Linked DNA regions of Arabidopsis thaliana. The protein of the gene in region 1 interacts with the protein of each later gene in a pairwise test. Each region holds a gene or a part of one and is shown on either strand. Other genes may lie near its edges.

Region 1 (9,040 bases):
AATTTTTGTTGACAAAGGAAGAGAAAAAAGCAAACCTGTCCATCGTTATGCTTTTCGTTATAACTTGCTTTCAGTAGATTACGCCATTTGTCCTGCATTGAGGAGAAGAACTGAGTCACCAATCACTACTAAATGAAGAGCTTGCTTTTGAGGTGAATGAATGATGAAATACTCTGATATCAACGGGTTTGCGGTGTGCTGCATAATGAAAGAAGTGGTTCTTTATATCGGTCCATTTCCCAACACCAAAGTGAGAAATACCATCAACCAAATTCATTACTTCATCAAGAGTCCATATCCTCTGATTCTTTCTCCTGTCACTTTTGGTTCTGGATGTCTTTGTTACAGAAATGTCATCTTCACTCTCAGATAAAGTAAGCTGATCATCAGAAAATGTTTTCTCCTGCAATAGCAGATGGTATTTGGTTTACATAGATTATAAAAAATGGGAAAACTCTATAGTCTTAGAGAGTAAGACAAACCATTGAAGTGTGAATGTATTTCTTCATAGGTCCTTTCCGGGGCCTGAAGTCATAGGACTCGCAAGACTTTCTTTCACGAGAAGAATCTAATCTGTAACATTATACAAGAGAGCTTCACTAGGAAATCTGAAGCCAGTGGGATTATATATTCAGAATAAGACTTTAGTCACCGATGATTACCTACTACAAGCGGTGTTGAGCAATTTCTGTTTCCGATTCTTTCGTTTAATCCAAGAGCCTATAAATGTGGATAGTGGTTTCTTGTCATCTTCTGACTCATTTGTATCCCAACTATCTTTAACTTTTTCGCTGGATACAATCTGGGATTCAGCATATGGAACAGTTTCTTTTGACCACTCCGCGAGTCCGATGCTTCCACTAATTCCAGGAGAATAAGATTCTGAACTGAAGTTCATAAGACCATAGGGGTCACCCTCTAATTCATTCTTCTTGACTTCAGTTTCTGCAAGTAAATGATTGAATGGATTGTGAACCGTATAGATTGCTCAGTTGCACCAGGATGATAGAATCACAAAAATTTTACCTGGAGGGAAATGGTTAACAATAGAAGAAAGCTCATGTGATGCGTAGATATCTTCCACTTCATCAACTCCATCCAGAATTCCATCAAGAATCTACGAGATGACGAAGAAACTTTATTTCACGAATGACCAAGAAAAAAAAACCATGTAAAGGAGTGCATAAAGAGAACACATACTTCAAACTTTAAACCTGCTTCCACATCTTGAGTGCTAAAAGTGTTAACTCCACCTTAGAAAAAATGAAAGAGAACTCTAACATTAACCATACTCCCATTTACAATGTTACAAAGCCATTCAGCATAAAGAGCATTTGAATCGACTTACCATAATCTGGGAGAAAGCTAACGTCAAATCCATGTGAAAACTCCTCCATCTTGGAGGTTAAGCCCATATTCTCCATACCAAGACCTAAGAAACTGTCCACCGCGGTATTATCATGATGAGGATCCATTAGGAAATGCTTCATGTCACTCATTTTATCCTCCATTGAATGGCCAAGATTCTCATCAACCTATAAAGAAAATATATAAAAGTCATGTAATAAATTCATCATCCAAATGTAGAAAACCAAGAAACACACAAGTGATGAAGAAGAAGATGTTCTCACACTGGCAGATTTGAATCCAGCAAAAGTATCAGGAAAACCGGGTGTTGTTTCCATCCCAAAAGGTCCCATTTCAAGTCAAGGTCCAAGTTTTTACACTGCAAAGAACCAAGTATATGTCACAATAATTGAACAGAACCGGACAATGTTGCCCATAAACCAATCTAACTTACATGCTACATTCACGAAACTAGATCTCATTTCTCTCTATATATGCATGTTATCCCAATCCATTAGATTCATCCATGTTTTTTAAGCACTAATAAACAAATTCACAACATGAAACATGTTCTCTCCAAATTAAAAAACATTAATTTGCCTCAAATCTAGTGAAAATATATAAATAAGTAATATAAGATTTACTTAAGAACAGAGGACAGACATTCTATGCAATTACAGTATAAAGAAACAGAGTAGCCAGACAAATTTCTGTCGGATGATCTCAGTCTCATTGACAGAATAGATAAACACAAATAAAGAAAAATCAAAACTCTCAGCAGCTACAGAAGCGTCAATGTTTTAAATGTTTATCACAACATTCAAAATGCAAATGCAATATAGAAAAAAAAAAAAAAACATAAAAGAAATATACGTATAATGTGGGCCATAGAGACGACTCACAGCTGTTACATTAGAAAATAATAATAAAAATATAACTTTCCAGGGAAGAAAAAAAAGAAAAGAAAAGAAAATCCAGCTGCTTAGCTTATCCCCTTCCTTTAACTAAACACCTGCAATTTGAAGAAACTAACAATCCGAGAAAAAATCGAACGATATCATACATTACATTTGTGTTGGAAAAGAGATCGTTCAAGTTCAAGAGAGAATCTAACACAATGTCAGCGAAAAGAATAGTACTCGAAGCTAAGAAAAAAGATACCAAAGAGAGACGACGAGAGGAGACGAAGAACACTGACGCAGGAGGGGAAATGGCGACTGTTAGACTTGGATTTTGTTTTTTTGTCTTTGTTTCGGATTCCAAAAGCTGATTTATTTAGTTTTGAAATCCAAAATGACGTAAGACACCGTCAAATATAACGTGCGTTTCAAGTCCGCAACGATGGACAGGTGGAGTTCATGAACATCTACTGTTATACTATTAAGCTGCTGACTTCGGATAACAGTAAAGTTGTGACTAAAATGTGGGCTTTCAAGGCCCACAAAAGGAATACTTGCCGTTTTCAGTAATTGCAAACTACACCTAAAAACTACAGTCTCTCTATTTTCCTTGCCGTTTTTGGTTTAGAGAAGAACACTCCTTGACGTTTTCATGCTAGCTAAACAAAGTTATACATAAAAACTTAAAAAGAGCCGAGGACATTTAGGATTGGCCTTGGACTGCTTGGACGCCAGGAGGATCTCCGCCGGAAATCAAACCTCGGATCTTGACATCATAGTAAACTTCTTCCACTCTTCTTAGGTCGTACTTCATACCTGTCACATGTCAAAATCGATTTTTTTTTTATGTAACCATCGCAAATGGAGAAAGAAGAGCAGTTAGAGATATGTATGACTTACTGTCGAATTTCTTGCGCAGGAAATCGTTCCTGAGATTGAGCATGCGAAAGGCTGCATGAAGATCTGTCAGGAAATTCATCACCTTTCTTGGGCAGTCATAGTCTCCTGCTGTCACTCGATTAACCACGTACCTAGGCTGCTCAAACATTGCATCACCCATTTGCATTTATCCAAAGGTTTTTCATAAGTTGCTATCAAGTAGGATGCTAAGGGGGAAGATGGAAAGTAAGATTTAGGGATAAAAATGATCTTACCAAATCGTTTGACATGAAACAAATTCCTGCAAAGTATTCAAAAAGCTGAAGATCAGAGAATATAAAAGCAATGTTGCGATTCATAAAATGCTCGTAAGGCATATTTGATCTATAGATATTGGCCTTCCAGAGCAAATATGGGTTCTTTCTCAGAAACTTACCAGTGAGATAATCTTCTGTCTCCAATCCAAACTCCAAACTGTTCACTGAAGTACAATGAAGTGGAATTAGAAGAGCCATAATGGCAGATGAATTGACCAACACCTTGTTCTGTTTATTTTACTCAAAGACAATTGATTTGACAAGATAACAAAACCCAGATTTGAAACAAAACGACACTTGGGCAAATATCTATTCTACACCAACGTAATGAAAAACCAACCTTCCAATTATCATCCATCCATCCTAAGGGAGAATAACTGAGTTCATGGGAAACGGCAACTAATAACTCTATTGAGGTGAAAAAATCAAATCTTAGCTAAATGGTTGACACTACAGTGGATAAAATGCAGACTGAAACAAAGCCTAAGGACAAAATCAATAACAACGAGCAAGAAAAGGTAGACTAATTAACATACTGATAAGAGAAGAAGACTAGTGGCAAACTGAATCTGATTATTGAGAAAAGTAGAAAACTCGTTCATTTAGTTTTTCCAACTGAGACAGGTCAGGCAAAAGGAGGGTCACAGGATAACACGTATAGTATGTTGGAGTCATGAACGGATTTCAAATTGATTGCCTACTGCCAGCTCAGTTGTTACCTATTGTGGGAAGGAAGTTTCTATACAAAAGTTTGTGAGAGAACTAGCAAAACAAAATAAGGTTTTATTTATAGTGCAACCACTAGGCCATGATATGTATTTCAGTATTTGGAAGTAAGGAAAATAGTAAATTGAGATCCAGAGACATACACCCAAGTTTTTCTTCAGCTTCGGTATGCACGAGAAGAGTTCCAGTTTCTAGCCAGTGCATAAAAGCAAGCTGGGAGACCACTGCCTGTGTTTCACTTCTCCAGTCTCCATGGTACCTACATTACAAAAACCTTTTAACAAAAAACCATTGCAAATAAAGAAAATCTAACTACACATAGCTTTCAAACTTACCTATAGTATTGTCCAGGACACTCCTCAAGAATTTCAGCAAGCCGACCATAATACTGCTTCAAATCAACGATTTTTTCCTTAGCTTTCTCGATAACCTCTGATCCATCAACAAAACGAGCAATCTATATTAGTAACAACCAAACACTTCCAATGAATTTCTTAAAAGAACAAAGGCTATGTGTAATTCAATATTCATTCTTTTCTCAACAAGTTCTTCATTTTTAGTTACTTCCCTTCATAGAGAACTTCATCACCAAGTTCTGAACCCATCAAGCCATTTCAAACATTTAGCTAAAAGATGCAATTTTTAACCTAAAGACTAATCATTTACCAGGAATAGGACGCGATTGATGAACGAGAAGAAGATTAGCTTGAATAAGCCTAGTAGCAGACTCAATCTCCATAACCACAGCACGAATCTGCTCTCTCAAAGCTGCAGATTCTTCCAATTGAACACGGAAACTCTCGAACTGCTTCTCAAGCGAATGAGACACCTGACCATCTCCTCCCGCCATAGGAATGTAGAAAGAAGAAAAGGAAGAAGTCGAACAGAAGGGAAAGGAAGATGAAGGAGACACCGAGTTTCTATGCCGGAGAGGATTGGAACGGCGAGGAGAAGCGTCGCCGGAACAGAGAGGAAGAAAATGGAGAATCGAAGAAGAAAAGGGCTTAGGGTTTATCAAACGAGACGCAGTGATGTGAACGTTTCGAAACGCCGAATTCATCATCGTGTCGTGTTTTTTAGTTACGCCGCTTCCCTATTCTCTTTCCGACATCATCTTAGTAACCAATTAAACCGGATCATATAAACCAAAGAATCGTAACTGAAAATAAACCGATTTCTTTGTATATCATTCTCTGTATGACTCTATCTTACCAAAACCGGTTACCATATAAAGAAAGAAAAAGCATGATGAATAATCACCATTATCTACAAATAAAAATTACAAAATTGGAATTCTAAAATCCCTTCTTCTCTAATTCTATAAACTACTTATATAACTCATTTAATATTTAACGTATGAAAAATAGAAGAATTTTACAAAATGTAAGCTTTTTAATCATGTGTAATTATTAGATTATTTCTTCTGGAATGTAACCATGCAGAAATAAGCTATGAATCGGCATATTAGTCCCATGAGAACGAGAACAATGAGACACAATATCCAATCACTAAGATCATATCCGTTTTGAGACAATGAACTGCATCTAGTCACCACCCACACTCCAGAGTACCTAACCCAAAAAAAAGAGTCCAAAATCAAATTTTCTGAATTAAGATTTGATTATGTGTTAGAAGAATTAAATCTTCAAACTTTCTACCTTTGAGCATTGGAAAGGACAAAGGCTTCGAGAGTCCATTTGGGGTAGCAAAAGCTTCCGAGATACTTAAGGACCATGCTTTCTTTATCTTGATTAGCGATAAGAGTCATAACAACGGGGACTAACACCGACAACTGCAAGAACATAACAGCAAATTCAGGTACCATATGGTTAGTGAAAATTTTGGTTCCTTCATATATGAATTATGAGAAAGTGAGGACAAACCAATTGTGCGGCGCTAGGACTGTACAATATGGCAAAAATGTAAGCCATGCCTGTTACACAGTAGACCAAGCATACTAGTACAATGTAGTTGTCTTCGAAACTAGATCTCGGGTTGTTGAAGAAGTAGAACATGGACAAGTACACTAAAGGTTTCATAATTGTGTTTAAATGGTCCATTGTGTCTTTAGCCATAAAATGTGCCAAACTGCTAATTCCAGCGGCACTTTCTCTCCAATATTGTAATTTATCTACAGAGAATGATCTCAATGCCGAGATCTTACACAAAAGAGCTACAAAAAAAGAAAGACATACAGAAAAGAGCTTAGTTAACGTTCCAAAAATCGCGAATACTAGTAAATGTAAATTAATATTTGTGTACGTAAGAAACTTACAGACAGCTATTATGGTGTATGTGTAGCCAAGTGTATCGATTGTCTCGTCGTTCACCTTCGCAAGAGTTCCTAAACAAGCTCCCGCAACTAATAATATTAGGAAATCTAACGCTTGTAGTCTTGCTTCTCTAAGCCGTTGTTTTCCAACCCTGAAATAGATAGACTAAAGTTTTAATGTACATATGAAATTAACCACAAAATTCCATCTATCAAATCTAGAAAAATCATACCTTCCAACAAAATATCTATATTGTCGACCTACGGTAGGAGTTACTCGATTAGAATTGTCATGAGAATTCGAGTAATTGTGTTGTAACTGATCTTTTGTAATCTCCACATTAGTTTTCACATCTTGCCATAGATCATTACTAAAAGAATTATGAGTGGAATCCTCTTGAGCTGATCCAGTTGACGAGGAAGGAAGTCCATCACAAAATTTCAACATATCGTGAGGCACAGGGTAACCATTGTGCAGCATCCATCTCACAGGAAGTTGTTCTATAGTTATATCACCATCTGGTTTCACAATGCCTTCAAGAATATCTATATAATGATCAGGAGGATTGACACGATCGGGAACCGTGATTCCGATATCAGCAAAATATTCTTCTATTTTTTTGACTGATCCATGGTACACGGTAAGACCACCTTTTGCTAGTATTATCATGTCATCGAACATTTTGTACATTGTATAACTAATAAGAGGAAAAAACCAATTATTAAGCAAAAAGTATTTCTTAACATAAAATTGTAACATAATTCATGGAGGAGATAACATACCTGGGTTGATGGACGACCATACAAATGTTAACACCTTCAAGTGCTTCACGTCGAAGTGCTCTAAGAAGTAATTGTGAAGATGCACTATCTAAACCTGTAGTGGGTTCATCTAATATCAATAGAGAAGGTTCCATGACCATTTCAACACCAACGTTCACACGTTTTCTTTGTCCTCCAGAGATTCCTCTTTTTTCTATCGTACCAACCAACGAGTCTCTTACATGTTGTAATCCTAAGCTTTCAATCACTCTTTCAATGATCAAAACTTTGTCTGCTTTTGACATATAAGCACTTAATCTGCATGTAAAGAAACATATATAAATAAATGATATGCAACATTTTTTTGAAGCATAAACACTATGTAATAAAAATGTATTTTTTTAAGAATTGGACTCTCAATCTCCTCTATGATATGAGAATAAATTTACCTGCATCTTGCGCTAAATCGAAGGTTCTCTTCGACGGTAAGATTGCCATGCACAACATCATCTTGTGGCACAAATCCAGTGATCTTCTTATACGAGTTTATAGAGTCATTTCTACCATTTATAAGGATTAGACCCGTCCTCGTACATCCAGTTGCTTTTCCTGCCAAGGCAGAAAGAAATGTAGTTTTTCCAGCTCCTGATGGACCCATGACCGCAGAAACACGACCTGGCATGATCTTTCCGGTGACAGATCTCAATATATGCTTATGTTTACCCTTCAATGTAAGAGTTAGATCCTTAAACGCGACTTCTATAACAGGTCTAGTCCTCATCTCAGTGTCAGTAGCCATTGAAATAACTCCCGAGAATGTCAAGTTCTTGTTGTTTTGTTCCATAGCTTTCTCCTTCTCAATCTGACCATATGCATACTTAAAAATCTGGCTTTGGGTATGTAGTTGTTTACCCTTTGGAGCTTGTGGCTTCTTCCCAGGTTTACTACCGGTTCCTACATTGAATCCTTCGTTGTTACTCGGGTTCTCCTCCATTGATTTCATCATCTTGGTTAAATTACTCGGTTCTTTTTTCTTGTCTTTTGACTTTCCCGATGCTTTAACTGGTGTGGCATCCTTTCTAGCAGATTTCATGCGAGAAAATGTTTGAGATAGTTGTGCAGACAATCCCATCTTTTGGTTCTTGGCAACACCTTTTGCGGTTTTCCACCTTTCTCGAGCTTGTGTTGTTTCTTTTGCATGTCTCGCTGCAGCTTCTCTCGACTTTGCTTGTCTTTTTTCTCGAGTGGCGAGAACTTGATCAGAACAGTTATAAACCATGATCATGAGAAGACTTAGTGATGCCTATATATACAATAACGAAAATATAATTTCCAACAAATTTTAAAGCAAAATGTATTCTAATTAACTAACAACTTACAATTAAGATCGCTCCATAGGCATGAATATTTTGGTTTGCGGTATTCGGATTGCATGTTGCGAGCTTAAAACATGCTAAAACGGTCACCAAAAAGAGAATTAATGAATGATAATGATATTATAAAACAATTCATTTTCTTAGGTTTTAGTGTTTTAGAAACTTACGTTTCTGTGACGTAGAACCTTGTCTGCAGTAATGTCTAAGTAATACATAAAAACATTAATTACATCCTTAATGATGAATATTTCATATATGAAACAAATTTTCAAAAAGTAACAAGAGTTGTGAGATAAAAGAATCAATACCCACTACTACAAGTGACTTTTCGAATCGTTGTTGGGCAATATGAACCTGGTGAACAAAACATATCACCACTACTCTCAGCATCAACCCAACTATCTGCAGAACCACATGTATGATTCAACTTTCCCGGAGGAATTTGGTAGTTATATCTGCAAT
Region 2 (5,164 bases), on another chromosome or scaffold:
TTATGGAAGTCCTATGATTTGAAGCGATTAGACATTTTTTCATGAAACAGAGGCAAATTTGGTAAGGGAAGCATTTGAGGTTTTTAATCCCTTACATATTCAGGAATATCCACGTTCAGAGAAAATGCAAGATTGCTTACCTGTGTGGCACTTGTCACTAAACTGCTTGCAAGATCATTGTTAATTGAGACAGGCAGAGGCGGCATCCGGCTGATGATCCCAGGCATCTCCTTCATGCTGCAGTAATAATAAGTAAAGAGTATAGTAAATCAAGCTTTCATAGACGAGAAGGTGAAGGACAACAGAGGAAATGTATCATTAGTGATTCAACCATGCTATTAGATCCACATACTCATTCAAGATGGCACTGATGTTATTTCTTGCCATATAAAACAGACTGACGTTATCCTGTGGCTGTATGCAGAAAATAGGATGTCAGGATGGGAATTCCATTACGAAAGGACAACAGCATGTATCCCAACCAAACAATAAGTTGCATTGAATAAAACATTGTGCATGTGAAAAATACATTCTACGATCTTTTTAAAGTCAATTTTCTGCTAATGCAATCTTTTTCTACCAGCTAGCATTTGGATCAGATACAAATCAATTACCTTGCACACAGAAAGGTTTGAGGAGATTTGACTGAAAGCTTGAGCATTCTGCCGTAGACGCTCCATAACCGCATCACTTAGACCTAGGAGAATAAAAGTTTGGAAAATATATATGAGACCGTAAAAATGTGACAGGTGAGAAAAAGGTATCAAGCTAACAAGATTGAGTTTTCTTGGCACAACTAAGGAGATGAGACAATAACTGAGAGAGTCCAGGAACTCTCCAACATCGATAATGCCTATATTCAGGCATGAACAAGATGAACAACAAATTGCCTAGTACATTTGATTGAGATTTCAAACAAGATGCAGTTTGTCTTTCTAAAATAATCTTTCTTTACAGTTACAACCTTTGCAGGAGAGGGAAGGAAATAATACCGACAATACTGTTACGGTGTTACCCAAATAGTACTAACCTTCAAAAGGCATGCGTGCACTCTGGCACATATGGTTCATGGCATATGTAGCATTTTGTTGTGGCTCAGTTGAGAACATGTTCAGTTTTGGGGGTAAATCCACTACCTAAATCAAGGAGAAATCAGTTACTTGTGTGTTGGGTATCTCAAGGAGAACAAATTTGTAGCTGTTTTGAACAAAAAACCATTTGTAGCCAATAACCTCTTGTAAAGCGAACTATAACCTAGGCCACCAACCGTTATCTGGTTATTTACTAACATTACATACCTTTCTATAACTAACCTTCGTGCCAGTACTATGTTCTTCCCCTTTTCTTCGCTTTTGCTGAAAAAAAGGATTTCAATCTTAGCCCAGACAAACTCAAAAGTCATGAATTTAAATAGTTGAAAGATATTAGATAGCAAACTGGCAGTTATTATTAATGTTAAAAAGGCCCCGTGTCAAGACTTATGTTTGTATGAGTCATATATCTGCTTGTACAACTCAAGTCATAAAAAATCTATCTATTTCTTCAGCCCAACTTCATAAAAAAAATATGACAGGATAGATAGTATGGATAAGCCAATAAGGTAATATTTGGCACTATAATCTGTCAACTTTTTTCCCCCATTTATTATATGAATCTTAACACTACAGTGTAGGCCATACTGCAGAGGATATAACCAATGTTTAACCATCGCTCATAGAAATCTTATCCTTCATAAAAAGTAACATATCAAAATAAACTTCAGAAAGTCGAAAAAAGCCCAAGGCTATCTGACATCACTCGTTTGGCGATATTAGTTTCAGGGTAACTACAGAAATCAAATCAAGCTTTAGGGTCAAATCAAGTTCCAACATGACTCCAGAGCTAACAGAAAGCCAGATCTATCGTCAGCAATACTTGTTATTACTCTCCTTGCACACTCTTAACCATACTTTAAACAACCTTTATGATATGGTAAGGTGTCTTTTCATCAATATAGCAATAGAACTTTAAGCCTACCTTATAGCCAAAAAAATATAAAAGAACTTTTCCCATAGGACTTTATCTTTAACAAAGCATACACCCAAAGTAGCGTCACTATGTTTTTCCTCCTTTTTTCATCTCCCAAGCTAAATGACGTTACCAAGATCTCTTTGAATAACAACTAATAAGAAGTCTGCAAGCCACTTATGAAACTTAATGACAATGCATTGGGAACTTACCGTCATCCATTTACATCTCATTGCTACATCCCGTACACTTTTATCTGGTAGAGTTGCTGCGATCTTTACATACTTTGTAACTTGTGGTTCATCTTTAAATCTACAAAAGACATGACAAAGGTTTTAGGCAAACAAAACAATAAAAGACAAACTCGAAACAACATAAAACAGCGCAAGGTAAGAAACTAACACAGAGAAAAACTCAGCCATCTTTCGTAGAAATTTTCTGATACAAAATACATCTATAAGAATCTGAATCAGCTTATGATTCCAGATAACAACACGAGCTATAACAGTTCATATGAAACATAAATGCAAAACCTTTTCCTTCATCTACATATAAAAATTTATCTACTCTAACATTGTATAATAGCTACGAAGTGAGAAAATTTGCAGAGAACGAAGAACAATGGAGAATAACAAAAATACTTACTTTGAAAGACCTTTCTCCAATATATATTGTTCCTCAACAGACCAATCAACAGCCAAAGAAGCTTCATGTTTGAGTCCAGTAACCGAAGTCGGAGAATTTACAGTAAGATGAAATCCAGAAGAAGCATTCATGCTCGAAGTCGCCGAAAACACTAAACCGGTCGTGCTAGTACTCGGTACGCAATAATTATCCATCGGAATCATCACTCAAAAGCTATTTCGTAGAGATTAAGTTGACCTACAACGAAGCACGCCCAAAAACATGTTCAATTTAGGGTTTTAGCAATTTCAGAATCATACGGAAAAAAATCCGATTAAAACCCAACAGAAACCTAAAAGAGCAAAACCTGAGCAAAACCCACCTCGGATTTAGCCAAAATAGAAGATGAGTATGCTTCTCCGTAGCTCGATAGATGGCGTCGATGCAAAAACCCTAAACCCCCAACGATTGGTGATGAAAGTAGAGATACTGAAATCGTGAAGCTACAAAATTCAGAGAGATCGCAATAGAGAAGAAGAAGATTGAAGAATCGTGATTCGATTCGCGAGAGAGTGGTGACAGCAAGATGATGCGAAGAACTTTCGAATTGCAGAAGCTGGCGAGGAGAGAGAGAGAGAAAATGGTGGTTTTGTTTTGTAATGGTTTTTATTCTATTAAGAAACAGAACCACTTTTTATTCCATTGTGGTGGTTTTGCTTTTTTGTTTTTGTCTAGTCCACTCTTTGAAGAAAGATGGTTTGTTCCTCCTTATTTTTTTAAACTTTTACTCAATTTTTGTGAATTACACAGTCACCTACACTTTGGAAATTCAGATATTTAAATTACAACAAGGTATTATAAATCATAAAGTTTGGTATCCATTTCACTAAGTGACATTTGTTTTTTTTGTTTTTTTTTACATGTCTTATGTGAGTTATGAATAATTAAATTTGTTTCAAACTTTTACATGTGTAATTTTATGATAAATCTTTTATTTACTTATATACCTAAATAATCAAGTTGAATTTGTGCATAGACAAAAATGAGACATCAAATTAGTTAATCGATAATAGTAGGATTCGCCGGGGAGAAGGAGAAAAAAAATTAGATGCATGGGTCTCAGGTTCGAGTAATAACCAAAATAACTACAACTTCATTTTTGCATAGACGTGGAGATGCTTTTTGGTTAGAAACCTCGACAACCACTAACGAAGATGAGGACAATGAAAACGTTGTGTTTTGACTTTTATGCCCCTCTAAACCCTAAATTCAATAATTTGGGTCGTCACTCGTCAGCAAGCTGGATCTAATCCACCACTCTCTCCAATTGTCATTCACTCCGGTTTTGCTATTTCCAAGGAGAGAAAGATGATAGCTGTGATCGGATTGCTTCTGGGTTTTCTAGTATCAGCATTGTTCTTAATCCAAGGAAAGCGAAGAAGAACAAACGACAATCAAGAGAAGAAGAGATCTAGCAGTGAGCCTGTAGAAGATGTGGTAAGACCAAAAAGTTACAGCAAGAGTGAAGTCGCAGTACATAACAAAAGGAACGATTGTTGGATCATAATCAAAGATAAAGTCTATGATATTACTTCTTATGTTGAAGAACATCCTGGTGGTGACGCTATTCTTGATCATGCTGGTGATGATTCTACTGATGGCTTCTTCGGACCTCAACACGCCACTCGTGTTTTCGACATGATTGAAGATTTCTACATCGGGGAACTTCATTAGTAAAAGCTTAAAGATTTGAGATTTGATTGAAGATTTGAGATTTCTTCTTAAGTAAGCTTAAAGATGGCTTTTTTAATTCTCTTCTCATTGAAGATTTGAGATTGCATTACCTTTTTGTCTTGCTAGTGTAACACTTCTTCTTCCATTGTATTGCCAAAGTTTCCTCCTTTCTCTTAATTTTCATGGTGAAGCTATGCTCTGTTTCAAGTGTTCTATGCTTAACTCTGTCTCAAGTGTTTTAAATCCATCAATTTTGAGTTTAATCTATTGAATTGCTTTATGGGAATCAATAGGATCATAAGAACATAACTTTTTTACTGCGATGAAGAATCATAATATTCGACAAAAAAGCATAACAGAGATCTCGAGTTCGAGTTCTATCTCTGATATAGACCTAAATCCCAAAGCATAAGCATTGACATCTGGTTAACCAAAACAAACTACCAACGTTCATATGATGAAGGTCTGCCTCCAGGACGGCTAGGACGGTCATAAGGACCTGGTCTGCTTCTGTAGGGTCTTCCCTCATCGCGTATCGGTCCCATATCTCCATATCTGTCACTTGTATCCCTTGCGTATCTGTCCCTGTCATAGCTTCTCTCTCTCCCGCGATATTCATTCTCAAGATGATGTTCAGGCATCCCATACCTATCACTCACAAAACGGTCTCCTGGTGGTGCGTATCTACATTGTTAATACATCAAAAGGTCATGACTTTCCTAAAAGAACACATGTTGGAACATTTATTTAGACCTGAGGACAAGAGCTACAAACCTCTCAAATGGATAGTGATCACGAG
Region 3 (5,144 bases), on another chromosome or scaffold:
AAAAGAAGAATCTTGTTTTACCTGTTGAATCCAAGATAGACAGATATCATATAGAGTATGATCCAGGAGAAACTGTGCAATAGAATGGATAGCCTCGTTTCCCATATCACTCGATAGTTGATCAAGAACAGGACCGGTTTTGTCCATTAACTTGACAAGTAAATGGTCGTCTCCAGTAGATAATACCTCAGCAAATGCAGAATCGGTATCACCAACTCGAAGTGCGTGCACCGAATTACTCCAACAAGTCCAGATAGGGTCTCCCTGTTGTCCCCCACGGTTATCATCATCTTCGTCCATCATTGCTTCTGCTTCAGGAATAGATACTCGCCTATTCCTTGATGTTCCACAGTCTTCTCCAGCCACACGTATTGCTTCAAGAGTAGCTTCATCTTTTGATGCTTGCCACACGCTTCTAGCAGAAGGTCCTTCACCTAGTCTAATTGCTACAGAGCTTTTGTCCCAAGCTCTTCTGCTGTTACCTGATTGCTCAGAAGGACCAGTGCCACGTATCTTTCTTGTACTGGTCTGAGTGTTTCTAGAAGAAGGTCCATAGTTAGGACTATCCCATCCATCTACATCAGATCTCCATGATGCAGTCGCCTTTCCTCTCGCACCTGAAGCAAATTACAGTTTTCGAAATAATAAATATCTTTCTTCAAATGGATGCAACAAGTAGAATTGTTTTAACAGCGCAGGTCATGCAGTTATACGTACCTGATTGTATGGACATTTCTCTAGACATCTCTTCTACAATCCTCTCAAGACCTCTAACACGGTTCTCCAAACTTATCATGCCGTCATGTGAACCACCCATGAAATCCTGCAATGATAAGGATGCTACCTTTTAATAGAGAAACTTTTTAAAGTGAATCCCTATATTTATTTGAAATCGGATCAGTACCTGCAACATATTCATTATGTGGGTTTGTTGTCTCTCCAAGTGCAATAACTGTCTCTGTAATGGTGGCCAGTTCCCTCTGTTTTCAGATGTGTCCGCCTGGATTACTTCAGTATGATCTCCATCAAATGCTCTCAACCGTGATTCGCCTCCGTTCATTCTTTCATCAACCCATTTTTCTCTTGCAAAATCTCCAAAATGTCTTTGTTTGGTATGGACACCAGCAGTTCTGCACAAACCATTTGACCTACTCCTTAATACTGAAGTATTGGCGTCTGATTCATCCTCTGTATTTGAGTTCGACGAATTCTTTTGCCTAGAAGGAAGAATAACTTCAACTGGCATATCACCAGAACCTCTTTTTTCCAGTTTCTGAAAAAACTCTGGGTTAAGATCTTTGCCAGTCAACCGAGGTGCCTTCTTTCTCAAAATGAGAACTGCTTTTGAAATAGAATCTGAACTACTGCTCAAACCATCACAAGAGCCTTGCATCACTAGTCCTGCTTCCTCACATGAAACTGAATCAGTTTCTCCATTCCTTTCCAATATACATTGCTCAGATGACACATCCTTCTGGTCATCCATTGTTCCAGATTCACCTTTTCCAGCAATGTTCTTCCAGACGTTTAGTGCTTCAGACAAGCTTTCTCTAACAGGTTTTATCTGCAACCCAAAGAAAATGTAGCCACTTTTCAGAATGATGCAAAAACAATGTCGGAAAAATTAACAATGTAATTCCAGTCTAGCAGTTCCCTTCTTAAGCAATGGTGATATGGATATAACTCAGTCAAACTAAATTATCGTTTTTACATGCTAGCAAAGCAAAACATGCCTAAGCAAATTCTTTCAGCTCATCGAAAATCACAGTGTATAACAAATATCCGCCACTGCTATCCAAGCTTTTATTTTCAATCTAGCTTATATACCTTTGGCTCTGTTTAGTTGATCAGAAAATTATAACACAGCTATCACGATCAGCGTATACATAAGGTGCTGAAGACAAGGAAAGAGAATGGAAATAGCAATGTTTTAATAACCATTAAGAGTAATCTGCATTTCTTTTCTTGGTATCAATCTTATTTCTAACCTTGGATAGATATTAGCCAATGATTCCTCTACCAGAAATATCTCAAGAAAATATCATAGCTATTAGTACCTTATCAAAACGACATGCCTCAAGAGCTGTAAGAGTGGAATCTGTTTTGTCTGCAACCAAGCTACTAGAATGGACAGCCAAGGAGATTAAGACATCAGCAGCTGCTTTACGAGTAACCCAATTCGTACATCCAAGGCACTCGTGAATGCTGTGTAGCAATGATTCCAAGCTCTGTGGTGCAATAGCTCCAACCTGCAACAATTCCATAGCTCAAAATATGTAATCCATAGAGAGTACCCAGTAGATTTGACTTGACCACCAAGCAGACTAGAGATATATAGTGAAAATAGTAAGCATATCCCTTCACACAAACATGCCATTCCAATCTTCTTAGCATAGAAACACAAGTAGCCACAAAACTAGAGACGAAGCCAAACAAAATGCAGCTGAAAATTCAAGCAATGTACCACATTGCACAAACCTGGGACAAGCTTCCAACAACGGGTAAGAGTGAAGCCTTAGTAATGTAATTGGGGCTATTCAAAAGCTTGGAGATTCTAGGGCACAGTTTTTGAAAAGCTGCAACAGGAGGCTCCGTTGCTGAATCAATCATCTTCCCCATACAAATGGCAGCACCAGATTGTAAGCTTTTGTTCTGCTCCGCCATTGCTTCAAACAAGGGTTTAGCAAATAGCCCCACCAACGAAGACCCAACATAATTTCCATTCTCTACTTCCTTCTCCTTCAGAAACTGCGCAGAGAGAGAACCAATCGCGTCGCGACAAGCGTCGCGTACACCGTTATCGGCGTCCTTGAGACGCTTGACGATGTGTGAGATGATTTTGGCTAATTGTGAAAAGGAGAGATCGGTGTAAGAGAGGCAAAGAAAGGAGAGGAGACGAATTGATTCTCTCTTGACCGGAGCTTTAAGATCGGAGGAGGAATCGAAAAGACAATGGAGAAGCACGGGGAGGATTTCGGGTGAATCGGGGACGGAGACGACGATTTTCTCGAGATCATCTACAGCTATCTGATAAGTATCGCGATCACCGAGTCTAGAGAGAGAGGTTAAGATTCTCTGTTTCAATTCAACCATTGCTGAGTGAGACGAAACTGCGACGGAGGATCTGACGGAGAACGCAGATGAATTTGAAGAAGGTTTCATTGAAGTTTTTGAAGCGGTTTGTGATCGCATTTGAAATTGGTAGAGATAGAAATGAAGGAAGACTACATAGAGGAAACGATGGTGATGGTGGTGGGATTTTAAGTAGTGAGGGTTAGAGAGCTTTGTGAATCATTGAAATGGCTGGTTTTAGGAGATTTAGGGTAGATTCGATAAAAGCTAATGTTGAGTTTGGATGATGATGATGAATGTGAAGAAGAAATAGGTCAGAAGGAAGAAGAAGAAGACGTCTGGTTTTTTTCCGGCGACAATGCTGAAATTTTCTGTTGGGGTCTTGAGAGAGTGGAGACCACGTCTTTGCCATGTCATGCTTCGTTGTTGTTTTTTAAGAAAAAATGAAAAAATAGATTCTTCGTGGTTGTCACAAAAGAAAAAGGAAATAAAATCAGTATCTGAAATCTAACGGTGAAAATTAATCGATAAAATAAATAAAAAGATTTATAGTCTTTTTTAGATAGAAGGGAGAAAATGAGTGGATAATACAACCACTGAATCTGTTTTGCTTTAGTTGGAAGCATTAAGAGAACAGCCATGGCTTCTTCTTCAATCTCATTCTCCTGTGCACCTTCTTTGGCCACCTCACTCTTCTCCACCACTTCTTCTTCCCCAAGGCTGCTCTCCTCTAGATTTCTCGGAACCCGAAACTTAAAGCTTCGGATCCGACCTGCCAGACTAGGACCCTCCAATGGTTCAAGAACCACTTGCTGGTTCAAGTTCGGCAAGAATGGTGTCGATGCTGAAAATGCCGGAATCTATGGCAGCCAGTCTCGAGATGATTTCGACAGAGACGACGTCGAACAGGTTTTTCCCTTGACTAAGAATCAGATTGATTTATGTTTCGACCAAGAAGTCAGAAGACGCTTAGGTTGGATTCTGATGAATCAAATCGTCAAGTTTGCTACTTGAATTGCAATCTTTAGTTGTAGATGTGAAGAAGCATTACATAGAGCTACATTGAATATAACTTTTATGTATACATAAATATAAATTTTATGTGTTCGTGATGTTTTTTGCAGTATTTCAACTACATGGGTATGCTTGCAGTAGAAGGAACCTATTCAAAGATGGAAGCTCTTCTTAACCTAAACATTCACCCAGTTGATATCTTGTTGATGTTAGCCGCTACAGAAGGTGACAGACCTAAGATCGAGGAGCTTCTCAAAGCCGGTGCTGATTATTCGGTCAAGGACGCTGATGGAAGAACCGCTATCGACAGAGCCAACAGTGAAGAGATCCGTGATTTGATCCTTGGCTACTCGACTCAAAAGGCTTGACTCCGCTTGGTTTTAATACACAGGAACAACACAAGTTATGTTCTTGAGTTTTGAAATGTTTGTGTTTGCTAGAACAAACTGTCTTTCTGTGTTCCGCGGATGAGTAGATTATAAAATCCATCTTCTTCCTTTTTGTCTTTCTCGCCAGTTTCTTGTTTCTTCAATGGGGGTTGTTCTATGGTGTTTGGCGTTATTGCAGATGAAGGTCTTTTTACAGGTAGAAACGCTACCTTGGTTGCTCTGAATCTTGGTTTTACTGTGTCTCTGTTAATTTTTGCCGAGCTCACGGGATTTGTAGATTCATCTTCTACTTTTTCCATATCTTCTGTTTGGGATTCATCGTTAGTCTTGGAAGAGGCTGCTTCAGCAATGGGAGTCAAAGACTCTGTAGCAGTATCATATCCGTTTTCGTCTGCATCAGGCAGAGGAGAAGGTGTGATATCTTCTGCAATTGGACAATTTTCTATCAGAAGCATGAATCTTTCAGTGAAGTACGAAACAGAGAATTTATGTATCGCATTGCTAAGACCTTATGACCCATCTAAAACACTAAAATCATTGCAGTTCTAAACGAATATAAGCCTACTTAGGTGAAACCACCATACAGTAATTCTGTGGAGATTCTTACCTCCAAGAGGAGAAACAAACGTTTGATACTGAATTGAACAATCCTTAGTTGTAGTATCTTCT

The links. Proteins that work in one complex are often made in the same cells at the same time.
Region 2: the proteins of AT2G37020 (region 1) and CB5LP interact in a two-hybrid assay, tested with the Arabidopsis thaliana proteins (one large-scale study listed by BioGRID).
Region 3: the proteins of AT2G37020 (region 1) and GDC1 interact in a two-hybrid assay, tested with the Arabidopsis thaliana proteins (one large-scale study listed by BioGRID).

The regions. Positions count from the first base shown.
Region 1 is NC_003071.7:15,542,702-15,551,741, reverse strand, and holds AT2G37020 (Translin family protein), read right to left. Parts: upstream 5,329-9,040; 5' UTR 5,232-5,328; coding exon 4,835-5,231; intron 4,601-4,834; coding exon 4,504-4,600; intron 4,428-4,503; coding exon 4,312-4,427; intron 3,607-4,311; coding exon 3,562-3,606; intron 3,427-3,561; coding exon 3,401-3,426; coding exon of another isoform or gene 3,353-3,400; exon of another isoform or gene 3,283-3,352; coding exon 3,147-3,282; intron 3,063-3,146; coding exon 2,950-3,062; 3' UTR 2,705-2,949; downstream 1-2,704. Other genes in the region: TRFL8 (TRF-like 8), read right to left, coding at 36-92, 173-403, 483-573, 663-945, 1,027-1,117, 1,201-1,253, 1,349-1,535, 1,632-1,700; NAP12 (non-intrinsic ABC protein 12), read right to left, coding at 5,583-5,739, 5,827-5,960, 6,052-6,341, 6,444-6,592, 6,674-7,138, 7,224-7,526, 7,658-8,505, 8,582-8,655 and 2 more.
Region 2 is NC_003070.9:22,341,790-22,346,953, reverse strand, and holds CB5LP (cytochrome B5-like protein), read left to right. Parts: upstream 1-3,684; 5' UTR 3,685-3,999; coding exon 4,000-4,365; 3' UTR 4,366-4,664; downstream 4,665-5,164. Other genes in the region: AT1G60670 (hypothetical protein (DUF3755)), read right to left, coding at 141-237, 353-414, 615-697, 1,031-1,136, 1,299-1,355, 2,220-2,319, 2,653-2,855; AtRZ-1b (RNA-binding (RRM/RBD/RNP motifs) family protein with retrovirus zinc finger-like domain-containing protein), read right to left, coding at 4,806-5,049, 5,140-5,164.
Region 3 is NC_003070.9:18,862,561-18,867,704, forward strand, and holds GDC1 (Ankyrin repeat family protein), read left to right. Parts: upstream 1-3,636; 5' UTR 3,637-3,711; coding exon 3,712-3,981; exon of another isoform or gene 3,982-4,196; coding exon 4,197-4,454; 3' UTR 4,455-4,522; downstream 4,523-5,144. Other genes in the region: AT1G50890 (ARM repeat superfamily protein), read right to left, coding at 22-617, 718-823, 905-1,564, 2,058-2,249, 2,479-3,192; AT1G50910 (uncharacterized protein), read right to left, coding at 4,523-4,899, 5,083-5,144. UniProt on the Arabidopsis thaliana protein: Involved in the import of light-harvesting complex proteins (LHCP) and subsequent routing of these proteins to the chloroplast signal recognition particle (SRP) pathway.